Caenorhabditis elegans: one gene and its partner. The protein of the gene in region 1 purifies or fractionates together with the protein of each later gene. This does not show direct contact. Each region holds a gene or a part of one and is shown on either strand. Other genes may lie near its edges.

Region 1 (15,535 bases):
AATTTTTTGAGATTTTATCCAAAAAAATCGATTTTTTTCCCAATTTTCTGAGGTTTTTGGCTAAAAAATTCGTTTTTTTTTAAATTCTGCAAGTAATTGGGGGTTTTTTGGGGTTTTGGTGCGAAAATTGGGCTTAAAAATCAATTTTTCAGCCATAAAATGTGTTTTAGTGAACATTTTTCATATTTTTTGTGATTTTATCTTAAAAATTCGATTTTTTTCAATTTTTTGCCGATTTTACAACAAAAAAAATCAATTTTTATAAATTCTGGGTGAAAATTCGGCTAAAATCGATTTTTCAGCCCTAAAATGTGTTTTAGGAAATATTTTTCAAATTTTTTGAGATTTCCTTCAAAAAATCTGGTTTTTTTTTTCATTGTTTGAACTTTTTGGCTGAAAAATGCAAATTTTTTCAATTCTGGAAAAATTGGGCGAAAAATCGATTTTTCTGCCCAAAAAAGTTGCATTTTGTGAAAATTTAAATTCGATTTTTTTGGGGGTTTTAGCCAAAAAAAAGGCTAAAAAATCGATAATTTTTCAATTTTCCTGCTAATCCACACGAATTTGCGTGCGAAAAATCCAATTTTTGTCCTAAAATGGTTTTTAACTGAAAAATTCGAATTTTTCACAATTTTTCGAGAATTTTCCAGCTAAAAATTTATATTTTCGAGAATTTTGGGCGAAAAATCGATGATTTTTCTGCCTTAAATTGATTATTAACGAAATTTTTCCAATTTTTCAATGTTTTTGGTTGGAAAATTCGATTTTTTTTTAATTTTTAATTTAAAAATTCGAATTTTTTCAATTTTTAGAGGTTTTTTGCCGAAAATTCAAATGTTTATTTTTTTTGGGTTTAAATAATTTGGGTCTAAAAATTGAAAAAATTCGAATTTTTAAATTAAAAATTAAAAATTTTCCAACCAAAAACATTGAAAAATTGGAAAAATTTCGTTAATAATCAATTTAAGGCAAAAAAATCGATTTTTCGCCTAAAATTCTCGAAAATATAAATTTTTCGAAATTTTTAGCTGGAAAATTCTCGAAAAATTGTGAAAAATTCGAATTTTTTAGATAAAAACCATTTTAGGACAAAAAATTGGATTTTTCGCACAAATTCGTGTTGATTAGCAGTAAATTGAAAAATTATCGATTTTTTAGCCTTTTTTTTGGCTAAAACCCTTTAAAAATCGATTTTTTTAGACGAAGATCTTGAAAAAATTTAAATTTTCACAAAATACAACCTTTTTTTAGGCAGAAAAATCGATTTTTCGCCCAATTTTTTCCAGAATTGAAAAAATTCGCATTTTTTTAATCTTTAAAAAATCCAATTTTCCAGCCAAAATCCTCTCGAAAATGTTCTCGTTTTCCCCTTACCAATCGCCGCATCTCCAGTCAAAACCTTCATATTCGTAGATGTCGACAAATGATTAAGGAAATCCCGTAGATCACGAATCGGCGTCATCACGTTCACCTTATTCTCCCATTCGAAATCACTCCACATTGTACGGAATTCTGTGTCTGTCACGTTGCCAGGCACTATGTAATCCTGAAATATATGGGAAAAATTTACTGAAATTGGCCAAAAATTCCAGAAAAATTCAAATTTTAACTGAAAATTGGGGCGAAAAATTCAGGAAAAAAAAATTAATTTTTACTTATATTATCAAAAAAATCCTGAAAATTGAGAAAATTGACTGAAATTTTACGAAAAATTCTAGAAAAAAATCAATTTTTAACTGAAAATGTTTAAAAATTCAATTTTCTGGCTGAAATTGTCCAAAAACCATGAAAATCACAACTTTTGACTGAAATTTTACGAAAAATTCGTAAAAATTCAATTTTTGGCTGAAATGTTTAAAAATTCAATTTTTGACTGAAAATGTCCAAAAACCATGAAAATCACAACTTTTGACTGAAATTTTACGAAAAATTCGTAAAAATTCAATTTTTTGACTGAAAATGTCCAAAAATCACGAAAATCATAACTTTTGACTGAAATTTTACGAAAAATTCGTTAAAAACTGAATTTTTGACTGAAATTCTTTAAAGATTCCAGTAAAATTCAATTTTTGACTGGAAATTGCCAAAAAATTCAGAAAATGTCATATTTTGACTGAAATTTTACGAAAAAATCGTAAAAAATCACAATTTTGGCTAAAAATTGCCCGAAAATTTTCGAATTTTCAGCTGAAATTTCACGAAAATCCCCAAAAAATCTCAATTTTTCGCTGGAAAATCCACATGAAAACCCGCGCACCATAATATCAATCTTAATATCCTGCAAATAGACACAATTCCGATCCGACGTAGATCCTGTCACATCATACGAAATCGTTGAAAAGATCACACCATTCTCCGTCGACGCAACCTTCACCGTCGCTTTAATATTCGAAAAATCATTGGGAGCAAGTGTAACCGGTGTCGGCTTATCGACAAGCTTCAAGTCTCCAACAGTGGCGAGCTCAAGGGAAACATTTTGAAGTGTATCCGATGTTTGATTGACAATGAGCACGTCGAGCACAATATCATACTGATTCACATTGACATAGGCTTCAGCGTAGATTGGATCCGAAAATCCGGCGAGTTGAATCACTTTTCCCAGTTTTGAGCTCGAAAAGTCGAATTTTTGAGCCTTCGGAGCTGTTCCAAGAGCCTGCGAGAGCGATAAGTCGAACAAATTCTCGCCTTGCTGGTTGCTCCGAGCAGAGAGCTGCGTAAAATTGATAGTTTTATCAATTTCCACAAAATCTTTGGATCGATATCCAGCAGCCGTGGTGGAAGCCATCTTCTCAGTAGTAACATCAAGCCGACTAATCGACTTGGCTCCGAGCATCAACTCTAAACTCTTCTTACAATCGTCGCCGTACTGCTCGTCGAGCCCCGGAATCCCTTGAGCCAAAATCTTAATTGTTGCTCCCATTCGATCGAGATCATCCTCGTTGACTTGTTGATGCACAATGCACAGCCCACTCTTTGCCAAATGAATAATCGACGAGAGGATAAGCATACACTCGGCTCTGAATCGATTCGCACGTTCGCTCGCGGCTCCGTTGAGCTCGGTGAATTGTTGGGCGAGCTTCGTGAGCACTGTGGCTAGCGATGCTCCGAGGAAGAACTCGCCGTCGAGCAGGAAACGTCGGAGTGGCGGCTTCTCGTTCTTTTTTGACGTGGTTACAGTGCTCGAGAGAGCCGTCTGAGTGGCGTACGTTCCGTCTGCAGTGACTTTCGGTTTTTGCCTGAAAAATTCGAAATTTTTATTTGAAAAAATTGAAAAAATCAAATTTTTCAATTTTTTGCGGGTTTTTCCAAATAAAAAAAATCAATTTATTTTCAATTCTGGAAGAAAATTGCGCAAAAAATCGATTTTTTTTCAATGATTTTTTGCGGGTTTTACCAAAAAAAATGCGATTAAATCGATTATTTTGAAAGAAAATTGGGGGTTTTGGGGTGAAAAATGATCGAAAATTAGGCTAAAAAATAGATTTTTTGCCATAAAATGTGTTTTTGTGAACATTTTTCAATTTTTTAATTTTTTATGGATGAAAAATACGATTTTTTTTCAACTTTTTACGGGTTTTATCAAAAAAAAAAGTCGATTTTTGTTTTAGTGGACATTTTTCAATTTTTTTGAGATTTTATCCAAAAAAAATCGATGGTTTTTGCCTAAAAAATTGAAATTTTTTCAATGTTTTAAAGATTTTCATTTGAAAAAATCGATTTTTTTCAATTTTTTACGGGTTTTACCAAAAAAAAAAACAGAGATTTTTTCAAAATTCTGGAAGAAAACTGGGTTTTTTAGATTTAAAATTTTCATTTTTTAAGAGTTTTAGCGAAAATTAAGCTAAAAAATCAATTTTCCGCCGCGTCTGTTCGACATGGATTTGTTCAAAAAATGAAGGAATTTCAGGGATTTGGGGGTGAAAATTTCGCAAAAAATCGTTTTTTCGATTTTTTCTGCCCTAAAATCGTTTTAGGGAAAATTTTTTTGAATTTTATTCATTTTTCTATTTATTTTTTTTTGGTTTTTACTCGGAAAATTGCGATTTTTTCCCAATTTTTCGAGCGGCAAAAAATCGTACTTCTGCTGCTGCTCGGGCTGCTGCTCCTCCGGCTTTTGCTCTTCCTGCCCAGAGAGCTCACTATCCACAAGTGGAAGCTCTCCAAGAGAGTTCTTAACAAGCTTGAGCACATCCAGAGCTCCATCGGCTTCACAGTACGTCGCAAGGATCCAGAGGGCTGACATGAAGATCGTAGGCGATTGGATGAACGGAATACCTTCACGGAGAGCTCCAAGGATCGCGTTTTTCAGGTTAGGAAGCTTATGAACAGCTTCACGAACGAATTGGAGCACATATGAGGAGGCTTTTTCATTGGTGTCTGATAGGAACTCCATGAGCACTGGAACAATAGTTGAAGCAACGTCTGGAAACTTGATAGTCGCCGCGTGAAGCGTCTTGACAAGCTCCTGCCGATATTTTCCATTTTCATCGTTGGATTCGGTGGCGGTTTTATTGATTTCCTTCTTCAAAAACATCACCATATCCTCGACATTTCGGCTTGAAACCAAATCCAACGCCAGGCTCAGCGTTTTTTTGCGAACTTCTAGGCCCGGCGAGCTGAGCACACGAAGAATATCCATGACAAGTCCTTGGAGAATCTTTTCGTTGCTCGACGAGCCGCGAAGAGCCACAAGCCGGTCGAGAACGATGAGCTTCACATTGTTATCCGACTCTTTGACTATCAGGTCGATGTAGGCACTGGCGGCGGCCTTCACGGCGGCTGGTACGTTGGAGAGGGTGACGAGGGTGCCGGCGGCTTCGTATCTGCAATTTTGAGCATTTTTTCGGTGAATTTTCGCGAAAAAATTCGTGATTTTCCAGTTTTTGGAGCATTTTGTGAAAGTTTTAGTGTTAAAAAAAAAAGAAAAATTAAACAATTTCCCAGGTTTTAGTGTCTAAAAACTGCGTTTTTTTCTAATTTTTCCGCTCATTTTTTCAAGAAAATCGCACAATTTTCAGGCTTTTCGGGTTTAAAAATCGTAATTTTCCAACTTTTCGCCTATTTTTTTTTATTTTGACGGAAAACGCGAAATTTTCAAGGTTTTGAGTGGTTTTTGTGGGGATTTTCGGGAAAAATTCATAAATTTCCTATTTTTCGCCTATTTTTTCCGGTAAAATCTCAAAATTTTCCAGGTTTTCAGTGTTTTTCAGGCTAAATTCACAAAAATTGCAAAATTTTGGAGGTTTTGGAGGTCTCAAAACTGCAATTATCTGATTTTTCGCCTATTTTTTTTTGACAAAAATCGCGGAATTTTCAAGATTTCGGGGTCTAAAGACGGTAATTTTCTAACTTTTTATCTTTTTTTTTTTCAGAAAAACGCGAAATTTTCACGGTTTTGGGGCTTTTGGCGTCTAAAACTCGATTTTTTTGAGAATTTTGATAGGTTTTTCAAGAAAAAATAAAGATTTAATTATTTTTCAGCTTATTAACGAAAAAATTGCACAATTTCCAGGTTTTGGAGCATTTTTTTCGAAAAAAAAAAACTCAACATTTTTCATTTTTTCAGGCTATTTTTCGAGAAAATCGCTGAATTTTTAAGGTTTTGGGGTCTAAAAATCGTAATTTTCCAGTTTTTTCGCTAAAATCGCACAATTTTTATGGTGTTGGCGATTTTTTGTCCATTTTTTCCAGGAAAATCCGTCATTTTTCCAAGATTTTCCTCACCTAACGGCTGGTGATGATGACTGAAGAAGATTGTAGACACATCTGATGAATCGGGAAGCCTCGTTTGGATTATTGTGGCAAACCTGAAAGAAAATTGGAGTTTTTGGATGATTTCGGCCATTTTTTTTCAGTTTTTTCGGTTAAAATTGGAGGAAAATCATATTTTTCGATAAATTTATCGTATTTTCGTTGAAAAAACCAATTTTTAGTTAATTTTAAAATTAAAAATCGATTTTCACACATTTTTATAGTGAAATTTCTAGATTTTCACGATTTTTCTGAGATTTTTGCTTAAAAGTTCATATTTTCATTCAATTTTCATAAAAAGCGACGTTTTAAATGAAAATTCTCCGTTTTTTTAAAACAAAAATAGCCTGTTTAACAAGTTTTTCTCAAAAAATCGATATTTTCAATCAATTTTCTTGAAAATCGCCGTTTTTAATGTAAATTCTCCATTTTTCAACGAAAAAACGCCATTTTTATAGCTTTTTTACTCTAAAATTCACATTTTCAGTTAATTTTCATAAAAAAAGTGCCGTTTTTAATGGAAATTCTCCGTTTTTTAACAAAAAAAAAAACCCCATTTTTACAGGGTTTTGTCAGATTTTTCCTTAAAAAACCGCAATTTTCTTGAAAATCGCCGTTTTTAATGAAAATTCTTCGATTTTCAACGAAAAAAACCCCATTTTTACGGGTTTTTTCTCAAAAAATCGATATTTTCAGTCAATTTTCCACAGAATGCACCTTATAAATGAGTTCAACAATAACGAGCTGCAATATATCTCCAAAAGATCCGACTTGATCGATACATCCCGATAAATAGTCAAGAGCACGAGCTTGATCTACGTGAAGGAGCATCATAAAAGCGTTACGCTTGCACGAAGCATCTTGCTCCTGTTCAAGGTATTCTGTGACGAGCTCCGGTGCGTCTGGGATCAGGAATTCAAAGTTTTCTGGAAAAAAAGCGGGATTTTTGGATTAAACGGGGAAAAAATGATCAAAAAATGCGAAAAAATCACCTAATTTTAGCTAAAATCATTAATTTTGGTCAATTTTCCGGTCCCGAAGTTGGTTTTTTCTCAAATTTTCACCTTTTATTGCATATTTCCATTGATTTTTCGTTAATTAAGGTGCATTTCAAGACCAAACTCGCATTTTTAGCTGAAAAATACGATTTTTCCTGGTTTTTTTGCAGAAAATATGACATTTTTAGCTGGAAATCTGCAAGTTTTTCAGGTTTTTCCCTGAAAAATTCGATTTTTCTGCTTAAAATAACGAAATTTTACGTATTTTTAGCTTAAAACATCAAAAAGTCGAATTTTTTTTCCATCTTCCAGCTTAATAATCGATTTTTGGCAACAAAAATCAGACAAAATGCTCATTTTTCAGCTGAATATTGGCATTTTTGCCGTTTTTCAGCGAAAAATAGTCAGAATTTCGTTGGAAATGTGATTTTTCTTGAAAAATCATGAAAAATCGTATTTTTCAGCAAAAAAACTGAAAAAAAAACCCCAAATTTTAGCTGAAAATGGGATTTTTGCCATTTTTGGCTGACAAAATCGCATTTTCAGCTAAAAATGTGTTTTTTGGCATAAAAATTGTAAAAAATCGTATTTTTCAGCTCAAAAAACATGAGAAATCGCAATTTTCACCAAAAAAAACTGAAGAAACCTTCAAATTTCGGCTAAAAATGCGATTTTTGCCATTTTTGGCTGAAAAATTCGCCAATTTTCAGCTAATAAAGGGATTTTTTCGCAAAAAATCGCAAATTTCACCGAAAATGAGCCTAGAAAATCGCATTTTGGAGCAAAAAATCAAAAATCTTAAGAAACCCTCAAATTTCGGCTAAAAATGCGATTTTAGCCGTTCTTGGCTGAAAAATTCGCCAATTTTCAGCTAAAAATGCGATTTTTTGCAATAAATGTACCTTTTATCAACTAAATAACGTAAAATATGCAATAAAAGGTGAAAATTCTTGGAAAAAAGTCATTTTTCGCATTTTCAAGCCCATTTCAGGCCTAAATAAGCCCAAAAAAACTCACTATAAATAGTGAAAATCGCGCAGACAGCGTTACGACGAACATACGAGTGCCGATGCTCCAAACAAGCTCTAATCGCCGGCATAAGCGGCTCGAGAAGCTCGGGCTCACGGAGTTTGCACAAAAACCGAAGGGTCGAACCGCGAACGAACTCATTCGGGTGTTGAAGGTCTTTTCGGTAGGCATCGCACACCAGAATCATCTCGTGGAGCAGCTTTCCATTGGAATCCGTCTTCGGAACACATTCCCAGAAGATCAAGAGCACTTTTTTAAGGGTGTGCTCATTGGATGGAAGACAGAAGCGGATGACGTACATTAGCATGCTCTGCGACGTTTTTTCTCCGTTTAAAATCATGTAAATGAGCTTTTTGAGCGCCTCAATTCGCTCTTTATCGCCTCCTTTCTCGAATTTTTCCTTCAATTGAGCTTCTGATGGGAGCTCAGCGTCACTGGGCACGTGGATGAGTGTGTAGCATGGTTGCTCTCCGGAGCTCATTGTGGAGGAGCTGGAAATTCGGGTTTTTTGTGGGGAAAAGAAAGAAAAAAGTAGAGAAAGTTCACGTTTTAAAAAAAAATTTGTGAAAAAATTGAATTTTCCAGCTAAATCGCATTTTTCTGTGAAAAATCATCGAAAATCATCGAAAAACGCCAGAAAATGAATAAAAATCGTCAAAATACGCTGGAAAACCCCCGAAAATCGCCTTTAAGCATGAAAAATGCCCAAAAACGTCAGAAAATGGATAAAAATCATCAAAAAACGCTGTAAATGACAAGAAAATCACTCTGAAGCATGAAAAATGCTCAAAAACATCAGAAAAATCAAAAACATCAGAAAAATTGAATTTTTGACCATTTTTAACCCTAAAACTCTTCGAAATCCAGCTGAAAACCCGATTTTTTAGTCAAAAATTCCGTTTTTTGGCGTAAAAATCGGAAAATCCCGGCTTTTAACCTAAAAATTAGGTGTTTACTGAAAATTTCCAAATTTTCGGCTAACAATCCCCATTTTCAATCGATTTTTTCCATTTTTCACTGAAAAAATCAATTTTTTAGCTTAAAAATCGAAAAATATCGGTTTTTAAGCTAAAAAATCAGATTTTTACTGAAAATTTCCAAATTTTCGGCTAAAAATCCCCATTTTCAATCGATTTTTTCCATTTTTCACTGAAAAAATCAATTTTTTAGCTTAAAAATCGAAAAATATCGGTTTTTAAGCTAAAAAAATCAGATTTTTACTGAAAATTTCCAAATTTTCGGCTAAAAATCCCCATTTTCAATCGATTTTTTCCATTTTTTCAGTAAAAAATGCCAAATTTTTTACTAAAAATGCAAATTTTCTGACTGTTCTTGTAAAAAAATTGAAAAAATTCAATTTTTTGGACAATTGTATGCAAAATTCGCCTTTCCCTCGGTTTTTTTTTGTGGTAAAACCCCGCGAAAATTCGCTTTTTTTGCCTTAAAACTTAATTTTTAATGGAAAAAAAAACGCGAAAAGTTGCAAAAATCCACAAAAAATGCGATTTTTGTTAGTTTTAGCTGAAAAAAATTGCATTTTTCAGCTAGAAATCTGAAAAATCACACAAATTGTTGCTAATAATGCAATTTTTGCCAGTTTTGGCTGAAAAAATTGCATTTTTCAGAAAAAAATACTGAGAAAACCACCAAAATTCTGCTGATAATGGGATTTTTTGTCGTTTTTGCCTGAAAAAATCGCATTTTTCAGCAAAAACTGTAACTTTTTCTGCAAAAAACACAGAAAATCGAATTTCTAATGGAAAAAAATCGCAAAAATCCACAGAAAACTACGGAAAAAGTTGCGAAACTTGATTTTTCACAAAATTCTCTCATTTCGCCTGGTTTTTATTGATTTTTTGACAGAAATCTAGGCTTTAAAGCTGTAAAACCCAATTTTCAACGACAAATTGATTTAAATTGACCTAATTCAACGCCACGTCACTTTTCACTCTTTCTACCTGTTTTTTATCGATTTTTGCCGCTTTTTCGACTGAAATATAGCTTTAAAAGCTTCAAAAATCAATTTTTAACCTCAAAAACCCACGAAAAAACGAAAAAATCCGCTGAAAACCGGCAAAAATCCACGTAAATCGCCGGAAAAAGATTGGAATCTAGATTTCTCGCACAGTGACGTGGTTCTCGCCATCCACCGTACCCCGTGACACAGCGGCGGGCAAATCGTGGCGAGACCCGGCCGCATTTTGAAATGTGATAATTTACACGGAAATCGACACAAAAAGCTTAAGTTCTCTCGGTTTTTCGTGTTTTTTTCACGAATTCCTAGTGATTTTTTATTTTTTATTCAAAAAAACGCAATAAAAACCCGATTTCAGTCAGTAAATGTCGTCGAAATACGACGATGATCGAGAACAAAAGCGTCGAGCGCTGAAAGACGGTGAATGGGCGTGTGTCGACTCGAAATGTGCCAAAGTAAACGAAGAATCACTTCTTGTATGTGATGAATATGGAAAACGTGAGGTTTTCGACGATTTTTCACCCCAAAAATTATCGATTTTCAGCGAAACCGCGCGCGAAAAGCAAAATTGGCAAGGAGCTGGGCAAGGAGCAGGCGGAAAAATCGAAAGGACTATTTGCAGCTGAAGATTGGGTTTGTTCAAAGTAAGATTTTGATTTTTACCGAAAAATTGGAAATTTTCAGTAAAAACCTAGTTTTTAAGCTAAAAAACCGGGATTTTTGCCTGAAAAAATTGAAAAAAAGATTAAAAATTGGAAATTTTCAGTAAAAATCTATTTTTTAAGCTTAAAAACTGGGATTTTTCGATTTTTAAGCTAAAAAATTGGCATTTTTGCCTGAAAAAGTTGAAAAAATCGGAAAAAAATGCAGATTTTTTGCTGAAAAATTGAAAATTTTCAGTAAAAATCTGTTTTTTTAGCATAAAAACTGGGATTTTTCGATTTTTAAGCTAAAAATCAAAATTTTCGCTTGAAAATATTGAAAAAATTGATAGAAAATGCAGATTTCTAGCCCAAAAATTGAAAACTTTCAGTAAAAATCTAGTTTTTACGCTTAAAAACCGAGATTTTTCGATTTTTCAGCAAAAAAATTGGCATTTTTGCCTGAAAAAATTGAAAAACTCGATTAAAAATGCAGATTTTTAACCGAAAAAGTTGGAAATTTTCAGTAAAAATCTATTTTTTAAGCTTAAAAACTGGGATTTTTCGATTTTTAAGCTAAAAAATCGGATTTTTTGCCTGAAAAAATTGAAAAACTCGATTGAAAATGCAGATTTTAGCAGAAAAATTTGGAAATTTTCAGTAAAAACCTAGCTTTTTAAGCATAAAAACCGAGATTTTTTGATTTTTAAGCTAAAAAATCGGAATTTTTGCCTGAAAAAATTGAAAAAACCCAATTTCCAGGTGCGGAAACGTTAACTGGGCTCGCCGACGGACGTGTAACGTGTGTAATGCTCCAAAATTGGCGGATTTGGAGCGTAGAACAGGCTATGGAGGTGGATATAATGATCGGCAGAACGTTGAATACGTAAAACGCGATTATGATGAGGAATTCGACGAGTTTGGGCGGAAAAAGAAGAAAAAGGGTGAGGTTCGTGCGGAAATCGGATGGAAATCGGGCGAAAAAACACGAAAAACGGCCCAGAAACGTCAGAAAATGGATAAAAATCATCAAAAAGCCCCGGAAAATGCTCAAAAAAAACCTGAAAATGGATAAAAATCATCGAAAAACGCCAGAAAATGAATAAAAATCGTCAAAATACGCTGGAAATGACCAGAAAATCACTCTGAAGCATGAAAAATGCTCAAAAACATCAGAAAAATTGAATTTTTGACCATTTTTAACCCTAAAACTCTTCAAAATCCAGTTGAAACCCCGAATTTTCAGTCAAAAATTCCGTTTTTTTGGCGTAAAAATCGGAAAATCCCGGTTTTTAACCTAAAAAATTAGGTTTTTACTGAAAATTTCCAATTTTTGGGCTAAAAATCTCCATTTTCAATCGATTTTTTCGATTTTTTTCCAGTAAAAAATGCCAATTTTTAGCTTAAAAATCGAAAAATTCCGGTTTTTAGGCTAAAAAATCCAAAATTTCAGCTAAAAAATGCATTTTCTATCGATTTTTTTCCATTTTTCACTGAAAAAATCAATTTTTTAGCTTAAAAATCGAAAAATTCCGGTTTTTAGGCTAAAAAAATCCAAAATTTCAGCTAAAAATGCATTTTCTATCGATTTTTTTCCATTTTTCACTCAAAAATCGAAAAATATCGGTTTTTTAAGCTAAAAAATCAGATTTTTACTGAAAATTCTCAATTTTTGGGCTAAAAATCTGCATTTTTTTCTCGATTTTTTCAATTTTTTTTGCACTAAAAAGTCCGATTTTTTAGCTTAAAAATCAGATTTTTACTGAAAATTTTTGAATTTTTGGTAAAAATCTCCATTTTCTATCGATTTTCTCCAATTTTTGACAGTTTTCAGCCGAAAAATCGAAAAAAATACTACAAAAATTTCGATTTTAATCCTAAACCCTGTTTTTCAGTCAAAAAACTTGGAATTTAGCAGATTTTTTTTGCTTAAAAATCGAAAAATTCTCAATTTTTCGGTTAAAAATCCAAAATTTCAGCTAAAAATCACCATTTTCTATCGATTTTTACCAATTTTTCACTAAAAAATTCAACTTTTCAGGATCAATTTCGAGATATGGAGGAAGGAGAAGCTTCGGATGATGAAGAAATTGCTGTAAAAGATGATTTGAAAAAACGGACTCCACGTGGAGAAGATGAAGCCGACGAAGACGATGAAGCCGATGAAGATGAAGATGAGGATGGAGAAGATCTTGGAAAATATAATTTCGATTTTGATTCCGATCCGGAATTAGTGGAAAAAGTCGAGAATTTGAAGAGCAAAATTGTGGCGGTGGCGGCAGCTGGCTCGGAAGCCTGTGATGACAGCGAGTTAGTGCGAAAAATGAGGAAAAATGGATGAAAATTGACGAAAATTGGCGAAAAAATGAGGAAAATCGCTAAAATTCGCCAAAACTTGACTGAAATTGGCGAAAAATCGCTAAAAATTGAGAAAAATTGACCGAAAATTGAGGAAATTGACGTTTTTTTACCAGAAAAATTGAATTTTTTCGCTGAAACGTTGCTAAAATCGAAAAAATGACCCGCTTTGTAGCGGAAAATCAATTTTAAATTGACTAAAAATTGAATAATTCAGCTTAAAATTTAGAAAATTTGCATCAAAACAACCTAAAACCATACTTATTCTCTGAAAATCCCTCCTTAAATTCGCTGAAAAACTCGAAAATTTGCCCGAAAACTGGCTGAAAAGGCTGAAAATTGTGTACATTTTTATAATTCTACCTGGAAAAATGCTTAAAAATCACAGAAAATTGAATTTTTCGACTAAAAACGTCTAAATTTCAGAGAAAAATCAAGTTTTCATCGGGAAAATGCTAAAAATTTGATGAAAATATCGATGTTCTTCCTCAAAAAATTGAAAAAATCACTTTTTCTCCGCGAAAAAGGTGAAAATTGCTCAAAATCCATCAATTTTTCGATTTTCTACCTTAAAAAATACAGAAAAATCACTTTTTCAGTGGGAAAATACCAAACTTTTCCTGAAAATATCGATTTTCGTACTTAAAATTGCTCAATTTTCACATTTTCTGCCTCAAAAACTACAGAAAAATCATTTTTTCCTACTGAAAATCCCAAAAATTCACTGAAAATGCCGTTTTTAGTGCTCAAAATTGCTCAATTTTCACATTTTCTACCTCAAAAATTACAGAAAAATCACTTTTTCTCGGCGAAAAAGCTGAAAATTGCTGAAAATTGGCTCAATTTTCATATTCTCTACCTAAAAAAGCAATGAAATCACGCGAAAATGCCAAAAAATTCACTGAAAATATCGATTTTCGGACTTAAAATTGATCAATTTTAATATTTTTTAACTGAAAAAGTTAAGAAAAGTCGGTTTTTCGCTGCGAAAAAGCTGAAAAATGCTCACAATTCATGAATTTTGCGGTTTTTTTGCCTCAAAAAGTTGAGAAAAATTAATTTTTCAGTAGGAAAATGCCAAAAATTCACTGAAAATGCGGTTTTTAGTGCTCAAAATTGCTCAATTTTCACATTTTCTGCCTCAAAAACTTCAGAAAAATCACTTTTTCCTACAGAAAATCCCAAAAAAAAAACCAATCTAAAATTTTCAGATGCTCATGCTCATGCTCGGGCGGTGAATGCTCTTGCCCAGAAAGTGAAGATGAAAAGGAAAAAGATCGTCGAAAAATGCACAAAACATCACGAGAAAGGGATCGTGAAAGCCATCGGAAACGGAGCAACTCACCGAGAGATCGTGATAGAAAGAGAGGAAAAAGAAGTCGGAGTAGAAGCCGAGAAAGAAGTTATCGGGATGATCGGAGAGATCGCAAGAGGTGCGGAAATTTGCTGAAAATTGGCTGAAAAATCGCTGGAAATTCGTCGAAAATTACCCGAAAATTCACCGAAAATTGCCTAAAATTCGCTGAAAAATGGATGAAAATTCTCTAAAAAATGGCCTAAATTGGCTGGAAAATCGCTGAAAATTCGCCAAAAAATTACTTAAAAATGGCCGAATTTCGCTGAAAATTCGTCGAAATTGAATGAAATAAGAACTCCCTGAAAAATGGCTGAAAATTCGCCAAAAATTCGCCGAAAATTCCCCGAAAATTCGCCGAAAATTCCTCGAAAATTCGTCGAAAATTCCCCGAAAATTCGCTGAAAATTCACCGAAAATTGCCTAAAATTCGCTGAAAAATGGATGAAAATTCCCTGAAAATTTCCTGAGAATCCTTTGAAAATTCCCTAAAAATTCGCTAAAATACGCCAAAAATTCGCCGAAAATTCCCTGAAAATTTCCTGAAAATTCTTTGAAAATTCCCTAAAAATTCGCTAAAATACGCTGAAAATTCGCCAAAAAATGGCAGAAAATTGCCGAAAATTCGATGAAAATTCGTTGAAAAATCATTTAAATACGCCAAAAATTCGTTGAAAATTCGCTAAATTTAGCAGAAAATTCCCTGAAAATTCGTCGAAATTGTGCCTAAAAATGGAAGAAATTTGCTGAATATTGGCCGAAAATTGGCTGAAAATCGCCAGAAAATTAAAAAAAAATTTGCCAGTTTTTTGCTGTAAAATCAGATTTTTCGAGCTCAAAAATGCGAATTTTCATGAATTTTTTGCCATTTTTCCTGTAAGAAACCTTCGAAAATTGTGTAAATTTGCTAGAAATCAACGAAAAAAGTACAAAATAACTGCCGGAATTTTAAATTTTCAGCTCAAAATGTGAATTTTCTGAGAGTTTTTTAAAATTTTTTGAAGCGAAACCCTCGAAAATCGTGCAAATTTCCTAAAAAATCGACGAAAAAATACAAAAAAACTGCCGGAAAATCGATAAATTTGCCAAATTTTCGCTGAAAATTGCTCTAAAATTGGAATTTCGAGGTCAAAATGCGATTTTTCTTGAATTTTTCCAAATTTTCTCGGAAAAAACCGTCGAAAATCGTGCAAATTTCCTAAAAAATCGACGAAAAAATACAAAAAACTGCCGGAAAATCGATAAATTTGCCAAATTTTTGCTCAAAATTGCTTTAAAATGGGATTTTTAAGCTTAAAAATCGATTTTTTCCGCACTTTTCCCCGTTTCCAGCCAAAATTCCCCATTTTTTTTGCAGATCTCGTTCTCGCGAACGCCGCCGTTCCCCGCCACGTGGCACCACCAGTGATAGACGCCGAGACGACGAGAG
Region 2 (15,595 bases), on another chromosome or scaffold:
CCGCATTCTCACCGACCTTTGCCAGATAGTTCCAGAGAATCATTCTGAAGTAGAAAGTTATGCGAGTTTAAAGAATTTTATTAAAATGATATGCATACAGTAAGTATTAACAACTAATACTACTAAAAAGGGCTTACAGTAGTAAAATTACTAATAGACTACATTTTTAATACTTTCAGATCACATATGTCTTAAAAAATGTATAGAAGTCGTATACAGTAATTGCTAAGCACTGACATACTAATACTAATACTAATAAGTATTAATATCATTTAGACCAACTAATATACTAATACTACTTCTAACACATAATAAAGTACTTATACATACAATCTTTCAGAAATTTACAATCTCTTTATATTTTTAGATGACTTATGTTCTTACTAGGTTCTGATATACTATTAATAATAATAATAAGTACTAAGTACTAATTTCACATCTTAGAATTTTCAAAACATTCAATTTAAATATCCCACCCTCCCATTGAAAAACCGCATCCGAATTTCCTGGCCTTTGGGAATCTCTCCTTGATCATTTTACAAATAAACTCCAAATCTTCACAGGAAGCAGCATTATAAGTTCGACTATTCTTCAGCTTAACCCCGCCGAGCCCACGTTGATTCACAACGACACTCCGCCATCCCTTATCACGAGCCTCCATAACTGGATGCAATACGTAACTGCAGTCATGGGTACTTCCAGTGATTCCTGGCAGAAATACTACAATCGGAGCATCGTCATCGGCTCCTTCTGGGATGAGCCAATCGATTCCAGCAGCACCGCCATCGGAGAATTCGACGATTTCTCTGGAAATCGGGGAATTTATGGAATCTTAGAGCAAAATTTGATTATCAACGTAATTCTTGATCGGGAATTTGAGTTTTTGTGAATTTTTTTGAAGTTTTTGAATTTCCACTCAACATGTTGTGATTTTCTGGTATTTTACCATGTTAGATATATAGTCATTAGGTAGGATATAGCTTTTACGTATAGGTAGTAGGCATGTAGGTATTAGGTATATAGCTATTACGTATGAATATATTAGGTATATTAAGTATATTGCAATAATTTTTTGAATTTCTTGAATTTCTACTCAACATGTTGTGATTTTCTGGTATTTTACCACGTTATTAGATATATACTCATTAGGTATATAGCTATTAGGTATCTATTAGATATGTAGGTAATAGGTATGTAAGTATTAGGTATAAGTATTCGGTATAAATGTATTAGGAACATAGGTGAGTAGGCATTAGATATGGGCAAATTGGGCAAAATACCATGTTTTTGAATACGTTTAGGCCAAAAATTTCAATTTCTATGAAATTTTTCGAACTACTGTCAAAATTCTCCGCCGAAATTACATGATTAGTTAGAATTTTGCCTTTCGGCTAAAATTGACTACTTCTACATGTTTCAGGACAACTTTTGATAGTATTTATCATATTTAACAATGTTTTATACCAAAACCTGCCAAAATCCGTGAAATTTCATGAATTTCGGTATAAAATTTCCTAATTTTCTCAAATTTCACCACTATATTAGGCTAATATTAAAACTTACCGCTTGAAGGGAAGAGTCGGGCAGTCACGGAAGACTTGGCGAACAATAGTCTGAGTAGTTCCAAACGGACACCACCAACTCGGATGGTACTTTTGCTCCAAAATCCGCAAATTCGCTTTCACCTTCTCGTAAAGCTTCGTACCCGATTTGACGTACACTTTTGGGATCTGAAATCTTTTTTTTTTTTTAAATTTTTTTTTTAACAAGCTTACATCAGTGATGTACCATGAGTATAACCATAAAAGTATGGGGAATATGATAATTGAGATCAGAATTAAGGTGATAACCATGGTTTAATTCTGAAAATAGAGAAATGAAATTGAAAATGAAAAAAGAAGAAAAACGAAAAAAAAAAGACGCAAAATCGATGTGGTGGTTCTCTGGTGAGTAGAGAAGAGGAGAAGGGAGGCTACATTGTAGTCTCCTAGAGTGTTTGCACGTTGTGGGTGCAAAAAATCAAATAACCAGCTTACTTGTAGCTTTATGTGGTGTTTGGGTGAATTTTAACGTTATTTTCAGAAATTTGAAAAAAAAAATTTTTTTTTTGAATTTTTCAAAAAAAAAATTTTCTTCAAAATTCTTTTTTCGTGCTAACAAATAATAATACAAGGTAACAATACTTGTTAAATTTCCATATTCTTTCATTCTAATTCAATAAATTATTCCAAAAAAAAAATGTTTATTCACAGGTTATACATAATATACACACTCGGGGGATGATAATAAAGCAATAATAATCGATATTTTTTCAAAAAAAAAAAAAAATTAAAACTTAATTTTCCACAAATCCTTCTTCATCTCAAGAGTCCTCTCTCGACTTTCGCTTCAACATTGACCTGATCCACGTGGCATACCGTACCCATCACTTCTTTTTCTGAAATCATGACTACTAGAATAAGATCAGTAGATGGCATCTGGAAACGTTGAGTGTGAATGAATCGGCTTCCGAGCACGGATCTTCTGTAAAGAATTTGAAATTATACTACTGAATTAGGAATTTAGGCATAGATAGGTATGTAGGCATGTGGGTATATAGCTATTAGGCCTGTATTAGGTACATAGGTATTATGCACATAGGTATTAGATGTATAGTTATTAGGTATGTATCTATTAGGTATATATGTGTGTGCCTCATACCTATATAGTATATTCGGTATATACTATATAGGTATGAGGCATATAGGTAAGTAGGTATATATACAGTTATTAGGTATATAGCTATTAGGTATGCATTATGTATATAGGTGGTAGGTATGTAGGTATTAGATATTTCGCTATTGCCTAGGTATATAGTTATTAGGCATGTCGGCATTAGGTATATATATATATATATTAGGTATGTAGGTTCCATGTAGGCCTATATAGGTCATATAGGTAGATAAGTATGTATCTATATAAGTATTGTGGAAAATCGCTCAGAGCAAAATTTTGGCATTTCTATAATATTATAGCTGCTCTTAAGCTATTTTCCACTAGTTTTTTCTAGAAATCTACACCTAAAAATGCTCGAAAAAGCGAATTTATGAGTTTTTCCAAATTTTCAATCCCTTACAATCGTGTCCTGGCAGTAATTGGTTCATCTCTTGGCGGAACATTAAATGTTGCAAGAATTCGATCGACATTCGGCTCAGCTTGACGATATGTGAAATGGAATGACGAGCCATGCAGGTTTTTTCGGATGAAATTCTGAAAAATTTGAATTTTTCACTACAATTTAAAGTTTTCAGGTTAAAAATTTCATTTTTAACCGAAAATCTTCTCAAAAATGCACCTGAATCACCGTCCAAAGCTCTTGCTCCCCCGAATCCCTCACATGCATTTGAATCTCATTAAAATCCTTCAATTCCTCAATTTTCACATCTGAAAGGTGCTCCAAGAGCACCGATCGTGCTCCCTTCCACTGCTCCGTTCCGATAATCGGCGCCATGTGCCACGTGGCGTTTCTATCATGGAATTCCAAGTTTTTCAAGGTTTTCGTGTGGAAAACTTGCAGAATTTCAGCGATTTCTTGTGTTTCTTGATGCCAATGAATGACTAGTGACTTGGATTTTATCGATTTTTTCGGGAATGATGACGTCATCAGGTCTAGGAGTCTTTGACGGAATTCGATGGTTCTATCCGGATGTGCGATAGGATTATATTGATTCGGAATCATGTTGATTATCGACTTTTTGCAGTTTAACCTATTCAGCAGAAGCTTAAAATCGTCCAGTGCAAAATCCACGTCATCAGCTTCGCTGGCCAGGTTTTCCACGTGGATTGACGTTTTAAAAATGAATTTCTGATTTTTTCCCGGCACAAATAGCACTGGAGACTCGGAATACTCGATTTTCAGGTCGTTTTCGCCGATATTCTTGAAATATTTCAGTGTAAAGACGGTGTCCGGCGAATCGGAATACGTGAAAACTGTGTAATTCTCGCAGGTATGAATTGCCACGTCATGAAGGTGATTTGGAGTTGAATCGACGAGAAATTGGTCCGATTTTGAGCATTTTCGGAGGCAGCAGCTGAAAATTTGCAGAAAATTGTGTTAAAACTCAAATTTTGGTACAAAAATCATGAAAATCGGGCTGAAAATGAGTTTTTTAGCTCTAAAAACTTGTAGTTTGTAGTTTAGCAGCGCCCAAAATTGAATTAGCAGCGCCCAAAATTGAATTAGCAGCGCCCAAAACTTGTAGTTTGTAGTCTAAGCAGCGCCCAAAACTTGTAGTTTGTAGTGTTAGCAGTGCCCAAAATTGAATTAGCAGCGCCCAAAACTTGTAGTTTGTAGTTTAGCAGCGCCGAAAATTGAATTAGCAGCGCCCAAAACTTGTAGTTTGTAGTCTAAGCAGCGCCCAAAACTTGTAGTTTGTAGTGTTAGCAGTGCCCAAAATTGAATTAGCAGCGCCCAAAACTTGTAGTTTGTAGTTTAGCAGCGCCGAAAATTGAATTAGCAGCGCCCAAAACTTGTAGTTTGTAGTTTAGCAGCGCCCAAAAACTTGTAGTTTGTAGTGTTAGCAGCGCCCAAAAACTTGTAGTTTGTAGTGTTAGCAGCGCCCAAATTGAATTAGCAGCGCCCAAAACTTGTAGTTTGTAGTTTAGCAGCGCCCAAATTGAATTAGCAGCGCCCAAAACTTGTAGTTTGTAGTGTTAGCAGCGCCCAAAACTTGTAGTTTGTAGTGTTAGCAGCGCCCAAATTGAATTAGCAGCGCCCAAAACTTGTAGTTTGTAGTTTAGCAGCGCCCAAATTGAATTAGCAGCGCCCAAAACTTGTAGTTTGTAGTGTTAGCAGCGCCCAAAACTTGTAGTTTGTAGTGTTAGCAGCGCCCAAATTGAATTAGCAGCGCCCAAAACTTGTAGTTTGTAGTGTTAGCAGCGCCCAAATTGAATTAGCAGCGCCCAAAACTTGTAGTTTGTAGTTTAGCAGCGCCCAAATTGAATTAGCAGCGCCCAAAACTTGTAGTTTGTAGTGTTAGCAGCGCCCAAATTGAAGGCAATCTATCCCATGCTCACATTTCCCATGCTGACATTTTCTCCCGTGCATACAAAATATTCCCATGCTTACGCCCAGTAGTTCGAGTACTCCCATGCCTACAATTAATTTTTCTCCTTTTTTTCCGTTCCCATGCTGACACTCCCATACATACATTTTCTCCCGTGCATACAAAATATTCTGATGCTTACATCCAGTAGTCAAAGTACTCCTATGCCTACAACTCATTTTTCCCTTTTTTTTCGTTCCCATGCTGACATTCTCATACATACATTTTCTCCCGTGCATACAAAATTCCCATGCTTACATCCAGTAGTCGAACGTTCCCATGCCGACATTCCCACACATACATTTGTTCCCATACTTACAAAAATGTATTCCCATGCCGACATGGAACAGTTTTGTGCTCCAGAAGAACACAAAGTCAATTTTTTTGCTAATTTTCATTGTATTAGGCTTACTTGACAGCTTTCAGTTACAACTGATCGCTTTTTTTTTCAAAATGCATTAGTTCTCGATTATGAACAAGGAATCGAAGAAAAATGGGGATGACTGCCTATAGAGTAAAATTTTTTTTTGCTCAAAAAAAAATTTTTTTTTTGTAAATTTTTTTTCTCTCTATTTTGTAGGATGTAATTAATTCGGTGAATTCCACAACTTCAAATGTTCATATTGCTGTTTCCGTGCAGTTATGAGTTTCGCAGTGTCTTAGGAACATCCCATTTTTTGTTGCATTTTGTAGGAATTCGGAGCTATCTTATAATTTCTACAAATTAGAAAATCCATTTCGCATTATTTCATGTAACTTGAACCTATTGCTCTTCAAAAATAGCACAGAACGAATGTTGATTCTGTTTCTTTCATTAAAAAATGTGCTACTGTGCATTTTTTCCCACTTCTACGACTTTAAAGGCGCGCGCATTTATACAAAATGGTCCCGTCATTGGTCTCGCCAGCGCTCAACAAATCAATGGGATGCGCGTGGCGAGATTATTGCGCGAAAATTCGCGCGCCTTTAAAGTCGTAGAAGTGGGAAAAAATGCACAGTACCACATTTTTTAATGAAAGAAACAGAATCAACATTCGTTCTGTGCTATTTTTGAAGAGCAATAGGTTCAAGTTACATGAAATAATGCGAAATGGATTTTCTAATTTGTAGAAATTATAAGATAGCTCCGAATTCCTACAAAATGCAACAAAAAATGGGATGTTCCTAAGACACTGCGAAACTCATAACTGCACGGAAACAGCAATATGAACATTTGAAGTTGTGGAATTCACCGAATTAATTATATCCTACAAAATAGAGAGAAAAAAAATTTACAAAAAAAAAATTTTTTTTTGAGCAAAAAAAAATTTTACTCTATAGGCAGTCATCCCCATTTTTCTTCGATTCCTTGTTCATAATCGAGAACTAATGCATTTTGAAAAAAAAAGCGATCAGTTGTAACTGAAAGCTGTCAAGTAAGCCTAATACAATGAAAATTAGCAAAAAAATTGACTTTGTGTTTTTCTGGAGCACAAAACTGTTCCATGTCGGCATGGGAATACATTTTTGTAAGTATGGGAACAAATGTATGTGTGGGAATGTCGGCATGGGAACGTTCGACTACTGGATGTAAGCATGGGAATTTTGTATGCACGGGAGAAAATGTATGTATGAGAATGTCAGCATGGGAACGAAAAAAAAGGGAAAAATGAGTTGTAGGCATAGGAGTACTTTGACTACTGGATGTAAGCATCAGAATATTTTGTATGCACGGGAGAAAATGTATGTATGGGAGTGTCAGCATGGGAACGGAAAAAAAGGAGAAAAATTAATTGTAGGCATGGGAGTACTCGAACTACTGGGCGTAAGCATGGGAATATTTTGTATGCACGGGAGAAAATGTCAGCATGGGAAATGTGTGCATGGGAAATGTGAGCATGAGATAGATTGCCCAAATTGAATTAGCAGCGCCCAAAACGTGTAGTTTGTAGTTTGGCGCTGCTAATTCGATTTTGAGCGTTTTTTATAGGTTTTTTCAAATTTTTACAGGATTTTGAGACGAAAAATGTGAAAAATTGCTGAAACTGGGTTAATTTTAACAAAACTTTCAAAAAATATATAATTTTTAAAAATTTCGTTGCGCAAAATATTACAAATCGCTGTGAGACCTTCTTTAGGCGCGATTTTTGCAATTTAGACAATTTTTAACATTAAAATCAACAAAAACCCACCGATTTTTGTACGGCAACAGTTCGACGACGGCGGATTTGAAGAGAAACGGCAATTCTGCCCAAGTTGGCTCCGAAATCGGCATTTTTCGTCAATTTTTGAGCGGTTTTCGACTGAAAATGACTCAAATACGTTCTTGGAAATGTGATAAGCTTTATAGAAAATTGCGAAATACACAAATATTTGTTTGGAAATGAAAAAAGCGGTGGTGAGCGGTGGGGCGAGTTTTCTTGCGATTTGGGGAATTTTAAGGTGAAAATTGATGGAATTTGATGAGTTTTGATTCGAAAAATCTTTAAAACGGTATTTTTCAGATAATCTGCAGAAAACGAGGAAAAAAATGTGGATGTTTGAAGAATTTTAATTAATTTTTAGATTTTTCTGTTTTCTGGCTCAATTTCAACCAATTTTCCCAAATTTTTTCTGTATTATATCAAAGCTTTACTCATTTTTCACAATTTTTCATTCAATTTCGTCTAATTTTCACTGCTTTTACCCAATTTTTCACTTAAAAACCCAACAAACCAGAAAACTGTCGTCAAGTGTGGTGTTTGCGTACCACGCAGTGTTTGCGGACCCAGTACAACGTGGACTTATTTTGGCGGATTTTTGTTGAAAAAAGTCGATTTTTCATAGTTTTTCATTGTTTTTTCGGGATTTTTGAGGTCAGAAAGTGCTATTTCGCTGGTTTTTTGCTTGAAAATCGTTAAAAATCGTAGAAAATCGACTGAAAACGGTAAAAACGAAATTTGGCTCTAACACCTTTATTTTCCTAGTTTTTCAGTGGTTTTCTTGATTTTTAATGTGAAAATTAAGATTTTTCGGGCCGGAAAGTGTTATTTTTTTGAATTTAGCTGGAGAATTGCAGAAAATCGGCAGAAAACGCTATAAAAGAAAAATTTTCCGTGTTTTTTTTCAATTTTTGAGTTTAAAAATTGCTCTTTTGTTCGTTTTTGCCTCACTTTTCAAACTTTTTCCCTCAAAATCCCCAAATTTTTTTCAGAAAATGCGTCTTCTCATCGCACTTCTTAGCTTGGCCACCTACGCCGATTCTCTCTACTTCCATATTGCGGAAACTGAGAAGAAATGCTTTATCGAGGAGATTCCAGACGAGACTATGGTATTTCTAGGCTCAAAAATTCGGAAAAATCACAAAAAAAAACAATATTTTAGGTGACCGGAAACTACAAAGTACAATTATACGACCCAAATACGAAGGGATACGGAGATTATCCGAATATTGGAATGCACGTCGAGGTTAAGGATCCAGAGGACAAGGTTTTCGCAGAAATTTCTCAATTTTTAAGCCAAAAACCCCGATTTTTCAGGTTATTCTTTCGAAATTGTACACCGCCGAAGGCCGTTTCACTTTCACATCGAATACTCCAGGAGAGCACGTCATTTGTATCTATTCCAACAGTACTGCGTGGTTCAACGGAGCCCAACTTCGTGTTCATCTTGATATTCAGGCCGGAGATCACGCTCAGGACTATGCTCAGGTAGAAGAAGAGCGAAAATTGGACGAAAATCGAGAAAAAACGCTTGAAAATGGAGATATTAGGATGAAAATTGATGAATATCGTGAAAAAAGCTCTGAAAAACTGATTTTTTAGGCTGACAACAGCTGTAAATCAGTTTTTTATCGAATTTTTCACTTAAAAAATGCAAAGTTTCACCAATTTGAAGTTGGGCGCTGCTAAAACTACAAACTACAAGTTTTGGGCGCTGCTAAAACTACAAACTACACGATTTGGGCGCTGCTAATTCAATTTTGGGCGCTGCGAAGACTACAAACTACACGATTTGGGCGCTGCTAATTCAATTTAGGCGCTGCTAACACTACAAACTACAAGATTTGGGCGGTGCGAATTCAATTTGGGCGCTGCTAAACTACAAACTACAAGATTTGGGCGCTGCTAATTCAATTTGGGCGCTGCTAGACTACAAACTACAAGTTTTTGGCGCTGCTAATTCAATTTGGGCGCTGCTAACACTACAAACTACACTTTTTGGGCGCTGCTAAACTACAAACTACAAGTTTTGGGCGCTGCTAACACTACAAACTACACTTTTTGGGCGCTGCTAACACTACAAACTACAAGATTTGGGCGCTGCTAATTCATTTTGGGCGCTGCTAATTCATATTGGGCGCTGCTAATTCAATTTGGGCGCTGCTAACACTACAAACTACAAGTTTTGGGCGCTGCTAACACTACAAACTACAAGATTTGGGCGCTGCTAAACTACTAACTACAAGTTTCGGGCGCTGCTAATTCAATTTTGGGCGCTGCTAACACTACAGACTACAAGTTTTGGGCGCTTTTTCGTCAAAAATGCTTCAAAACTCATTTTTCCCGAAAAACCTGCCAAAAAATGGCGTTTTCACTTCGTCTACGTCATCATAATTTCATAGATAATTTCTCTTCGAAAAAATCCTCAAATTTGCTGTGAAATTATCAAAAACCAGGCTCATTCTGATGAAAATTGGTCAAAAAATTAAAATTCTGTGCAAAAAAATCGTATTTTCAGTGAAAAATTGAGTTTTCACTCGAAAATAGATCAAAAACATGTAATTTCATGCAAAAACACTAATTTTGTGATAAAAAAAATTTTGGGCGCTGCTAAAACTACAAACTACAAGTTTTGGGCGCTGCTAATTCAACATTTTTGCGCTGCTAAACTACAAACTACAAGTTTTGGGCGCTACTAAACTACAAACTACAACTTTTTGGCGCTGCGAAACCCATTTTCCTTCAAATTTTCAACATTTTTGCGCTGCTAACACTACAAACTACAAATTTGGCGCAAAATTTCCACATTTTCACCCAAAAATCACCGAATTTTCTTCCAGATCGCCCAAAAGGACAAGCTGAACGAGCTTCAACTCCGTATTCGTCAACTTTTGGACCAAGTCGACCAAATCACAAAAGAACAGAATTATCAAAGATATCGTGAAGAGAGATTCCGTCAAACTTCTGAATCTACCAATTCGCGAGTTTTCTACTGGTCTATTGCTCAAGTAAATTGCCGAATTTTGTGCTGAAAATCGATAAATTTTGCAATTTTTCAGGTCGTCGTTCTTGCCATCACCGGTGCCTGGCAAATGCGTCATCTTCGTGGATTTTTCGAGGCCAAGAAGCTTGTCTAGACGTCGATTTTTCAGTTTTTTGACTTTTCCCACCAAATTCTACTGGTTTTCTTTATTTTTCCCTATTTTTCCCGTTTTTTTTTTGAATTTTAATGTATTTTTGATCGATTTTTATCGATTCCAGAGGGTAGACAATTTATAATTTATAATTTATTTGTTTTTTTTCTATGTGTATTTATTATTTAAATAACGCGAAAAATTAATTTAAAATGTTGTAAGTAAGCTCTAAAACTCAAAAATTACAGTAACAAGTCTGCGGTTTTGTATTTTTTTTTTCAAAAAAAATTGTTTCAGACTTGAATTAGGCCAAAAATTCTAGGTTTCAGAAGAAATGGCTGGCCGCCGCCTGATTCAGGGCTTAACCTCCCCTTGGTCTGTCGGATTTTCGGCTTTTGGGCTCGCCTATGGTGGATACCACGTTTGGGAGTAAGTTTTCGATTGAAAATCCGGAGAAAATGCGTCAAAAACCAGAAATTCAGCGGAAAAAATCACATTTATCCGATAAAAATATGAAAATCGATAAATTTCGATTGAAAATTAAATTTTCAGCCGGAAAATCGATTTTAACACGGGAAATTTAGTTTTTAGCTCTGAAATTTGTCTTTTCAAGGAAATTTTCTCGATTTCTCACAGAAAACTGATCAAAAATTCGGTTTAGTTCAATTTTCACCCAGAAAAAACCGAATGAAAATGAAATTTATTCTGAAAAAATCGATTTTTCGTCAAAAATGCTTCAAAACTCTTCATTTTTCCCGAAAAACCTACCGAAAGCGGTTTTTTCCACTAATCCACGTCATCTTAATTTTATAGATCGTTTCTCTTTAAAAAAATCCAATTTTTCCTCAAATTTACTGCGAAATGATCAAAAACTAGGTGTTTTCTGATGAAAATTGGTCAAAAATTGAAATTTTGTGCAAAAAATCGAATTTTCAGCGAAAAAATTGAGTTTTTACACGAAAAATTGATCAAAAAACACGTTTTTGGGCGCTGCTAAACTACAAACTACAATTTTTTGGGCGCTGCTAATTCAATTTTGGGCGCTGCTAAAACTACAAACTACAAGATTTGGGCGCTGCTAAACTACTAACTACAAGATTTGGGCGCTGCTAAAACTACAAACTACAAGTTTTGGGCGCTGCTAATTCAATTTTGGGCGCTGCTAAGACTACAAACTACAAGTTTTGGGCGCTGCTAAACTACAAACTACAAGTTTTGGGCGCTGCTAAACTACAAACTACAAGTTTTGGGCGCTGCTAAGACTACAAACTACAAGTTTTGGGCGCTGCTAAACTACAAACTACAAGTTTTGGGCGCTGCTAAACTACAAACTACAAGTTTTGGGCGCTGCTAAACTACAAACTACAAGTTTTGGGCGCTGCTTAGACTACAAACTACACGTTTTCGGGCGCTGCGAGCCCAATTTTCAAGCTTTTTTCGCCATTTTTCCACTAAAAACACCTAAATTTTCACTTTTTCCACTTCCAGCTCAACCCAATCAGGCACCAAATACGATCTTCACGAGGATCTTGCCGGCAAAACGTACATCGTAACCGGTGCCACCTCAGGCATCGGCCAGGCGACTGCAGAAGAACTGGCAAAACGTAATGCACGTGTCATTATGGCTTGCCGGAATCGCGAGAAATGCGTTCAAGTTCGCCGGGATATTGTCCTGAATACCAGGAACAAGCAGGTTGGAATTCGAGACGATTCGGACGAAAATGAGCTGAAAAATTGAATTTTTCACCAAAATTCGGTTAAAAATCGATTTTTACCCGGAAAAATGGCTATAAATCGGCTAATTTTGCTGAAAAATCGCATTTTTCACGAAATTTTGTGTGAAAATCGGCAAAAATCGATTAAAATCCACTTTTTACCCGAAAATTGCAATTTTCCGACGATTTTCTCGATAAATACAGCAATTTGGAGTTGAAAAACAGAAATTTTCACCGATTTGAGCTGGAAAATCGCATTTTTGACCTGTCTTTTGTGGAAAAATATGAGTTTTCCTGTAAAAATCCTAAAAAATTAGGAATTTTCAGTTAAAAAACCGGAAAAATTGCAAAAAATGTCAATTTCGAGCTGGAAAATTGCATTTTTCAACAGATTTCTCAGGAAAATCCGATTAAAATTCATTTTCGGCTCGAAAAATGTCAAAAAATCGATTTTTTTCGCTCTAAAAATCGATTTTTCGCTCAAAAAGGCTCATTTTTATTGGAAAAAAATGTCTAAAAATCCCATTTTTCACGAAACTTTGAGTGAAAATTGGCAAAAATTTGAATTAAACTCAATTTTTACCCGAAAATTGTGAATTTCCGACGATTTTCTCGATAAAAATGGCAATTTGAAGCTGAAAAACAGAAGTTTTCATCGATTTGAGCTGGAAAATTGCATTTTTAACCAGTTTTTTGATGAAAAATATGAGTTTTCCTGTAAAAAATCCTAGAAATTTACGAATTTTCAGTTAAAAAAGGGCAAAAATTGCGAAAAATGTATTTTTCAGCCGACTGTCAGGAAAATACAATTAAAATTCATTTCCGGCTCGAAAAATGTCTAAAAATCGCATTGTTCACAGAATTTTGTAAAACTTACGAATTTTCAGTTAAAAAACGGCAAAATGTCAATTTGCCGGTTTTTCGAGTGAAAATCTGGAAAAAATGAGAAAAAAGTCAATTTTGAGCTGAAAAATGCTCATTTTTCACCGATTTTTGTGTTTTTTTTTCGCTAATTTTCCCCAAAAAATCCCTGATTGTTTCCAGGTATACTGCCGTCAATGCGATTTGGAAGATTTTGACAGTATCCGAACGTTTGTCCAAAAGTTGTCCAAAGGAAAATTCGAATTGGATCGAATTGATGGAATTGTGCATAATGCGGCGATGATGCAGAGTGAACGGGCTGTAAATAAAGTAAAAATTCGCTTTTTTAGCCTGAAAATTCAAAATTTCGCGGTTTTTGACCTAATAATTCGATTTTCTGGGTTATTTTTTGGTGAAAATCGGTTTTTTTTTTCGAGTTTTCTCGATAAAAAATGTCCAAAAACGAGAATTTTGATGGAAAATTCGAATTTCTGGGTCATTTTTGATGGAAAAAGTGAAAAATTACGGAAAATGCCCCATACTTTCCGATTTTTTACGAAAATAATGACTTTTTTTTCCGGAAAAAAACGAAAAATCTTGATTTTCCACCGAAAATTTTGAATTTTAGTGCAAATTGTCGTGAAATCTGGAGTATTGGGTTACTGTAGCTTTGGTGGTTGCGGACTTTTGGAGCTACGGTAACCCCAAAAAACGAAAAATCACTTTTTCACTGTGAAAACACCTTAATTTTTCGATTTTTCAGATAAAAATCATGAAAATTTCTGTTTTTCTCCCTGAAAATTAATTTTTTGGGACTAAAATGGGCTTTTAGTGTATTTTTCCGTCAAATCTTGTGTTTTGGGTTACTGTAGCTCGGTGTTTGCGGACACTTTTGGAGCTACAGTAACCCAAAAACTCGGAAAAATGACTTTTTTGCACTGAAAACAGCACAATTTTTCAGGTAAAAATCATGAAAATTTCTGTGTTTTTACCTGAAAACTAGTTTTTTTTGAATAAAAAAGGCTTTTAGTGCAAATTGTCGTAAAATCTGGTGTTTTGGGTTACTATAGCCGGGTGTTTGCGGACTTTTGGGGTGACAGTACCCCAAAAACCAAAAAATCACATTTTCGCACTAAAAACACCGAAATTTCCTAATTTTTAAATTAAAAATCGTGAAAACTTTGGATTTTTTCATGAAAATTTGAAAATTCGCCGAAATTCCCATTTTTCAGCACTAAAAACGGCGAAAACTGGTTTTTTTTAAAGAAAAATCGTAAAAAATTCAGATTTCTCATGACAAATTACCCAAAAATTCTATTTTTTCGATTTTTTGTGCAAATTGTCGTAAAATCTGGTGTCTTGGGTTACTGTAGCCTGGTGTATGCGGAGATTTTGAGGCTACAGTAACCAAAAATCGCCAAATTTCTAAATTTTTTGAGTAAAAATGGATTTTCGACACGAAATTTCAATTTTTAAGTGAAAAATTTCGTAAAAAATCACATTTTCACACTGAAAAATTCAAATTTTCACTTAAAAATTCAAATTTTCACTTAAAAATTCAAATTTTCATTTAAAAATACCCAATTTTCACTCAAAAATTCAAATTTTCACTTAAAAATTCCCAATCTTCACTCAAAAATTCAAATTTTCACTTAAAAATACCCAATTTTCACTAAAAAATCACATTTTCACTTAAAAAATCACATTTTCACTTAAAAATTCAAATTTTCACTTAAAAATTCAAATTTTCACTTAAAAATTCAAATTTTCACTTAAAAATTCCCAATTTTCACTGAAAAATTCAAATTTTCACACTGAAAAATTCAAATTTTCACTCAAAAATTCAAATTTTCACACTGAAAAATTCCCAATCTTTTTTTGCAGGATGGAATCGAAAAAACCATCGCCACAAATCACCTGGGAAGCTTTTTGCTCACCGGACTCCTCTTGGACAAGCTCCTCGCCCAGCCGAATCCCGTCCGAATTGTATTTCTAAATTCGAATATTATCGATCGAAAGTGTGACCTAAATTTGGCGGATTTCAACTCAGAAAACGCCGGGAAAAAATTCGATGGATATGAGATTTACAAGCACTCGAAACTGGCGTCGGCTCTTTTTACGAAAGAGCTCTCTGAGAGGCTTTCCGATACGAATATTCACGTTTTAATGGCAGATCCTGGACGAACAAAGTCGAATTTGTCGGCTCAAATGGATGGACAGACGTTCTTTTTGAGCCGGTGGTTGCTCAAAATTGTTAGGTAGCTTAAAATTGAAAAAAATTGAAAAAAAAATCATTAAAAAGTGTGGAAAATTCAAAAATTGAAGTGAAAATCGTAATTTTGAAGAGAATATTACGATTTTGAAACCAATGTTGTTATTAAATTGTTTTAAAGTATAGAATTCAAACATTCGAAAAAATAAACTTATAGCAATCGATTTTTGTTTCATGAAAAATCGGCAAATGCATATATAAGGAAATTCGTAGTTTAGACTGGATAATTGAAATTAAAATTAGTAATCAATAATATTAGTGTTAGTAAATAGAAATATTAGTGTTAGTAATTAATAATAAAGTTGTTAGTGAATAATGGTAATATTGTTAGTAATTAATAATATTGGTG

Evidence for each region.
Region 2: the proteins of copb-1 (region 1) and tmed-4 fractionate together in Caenorhabditis elegans (co-fractionation; one large-scale study listed by BioGRID). This does not show direct contact.

What each region holds. Positions count from the first base shown.
Region 1 is NC_003280.10:3,071,530-3,087,064, reverse strand, and holds the start of copb-1 (Coatomer subunit beta), read right to left. Parts: upstream 8,270-15,535; 5' UTR 8,260-8,269; coding exon 7,767-8,259; intron 6,678-7,766; coding exon 6,469-6,677; intron 5,808-6,468; coding exon 5,725-5,807; intron 4,824-5,724; coding exon 4,080-4,823; intron 3,237-4,079; coding exon 2,258-3,236; intron 1,547-2,257; coding exon 1,375-1,546; intron 1-1,374. Other genes in the region: Y25C1A.8 (Zinc finger Ran-binding domain-containing protein 2), read left to right, coding at 10,119-10,251, 10,298-10,397, 11,157-11,343, 12,436-12,704, 13,964-14,185, 15,464-15,535.
Region 2 is NC_003283.11:19,941,755-19,957,349, reverse strand, and holds tmed-4 (GOLD domain-containing protein), read left to right. Parts: upstream 1-8,256; 5' UTR 8,257-8,259; coding exon 8,260-8,373; intron 8,374-8,426; coding exon 8,427-8,531; intron 8,532-8,581; coding exon 8,582-8,752; intron 8,753-10,104; coding exon 10,105-10,272; intron 10,273-10,323; coding exon 10,324-10,401; 3' UTR 10,402-10,610; downstream 10,611-15,595. Other genes in the region: abhd-3.1 (AB hydrolase-1 domain-containing protein), read right to left, coding at 1-44, 477-806, 1,564-1,730, 1,776-1,853; Y60A3A.8 (DUF38 domain-containing protein), read right to left, coding at 2,358-2,523, 3,116-3,249, 3,335-4,070, 7,256-7,338; dhs-24 (Retinol dehydrogenase 13), read left to right, coding at 10,733-10,827, 11,887-12,091, 13,158-13,304, 14,859-15,232.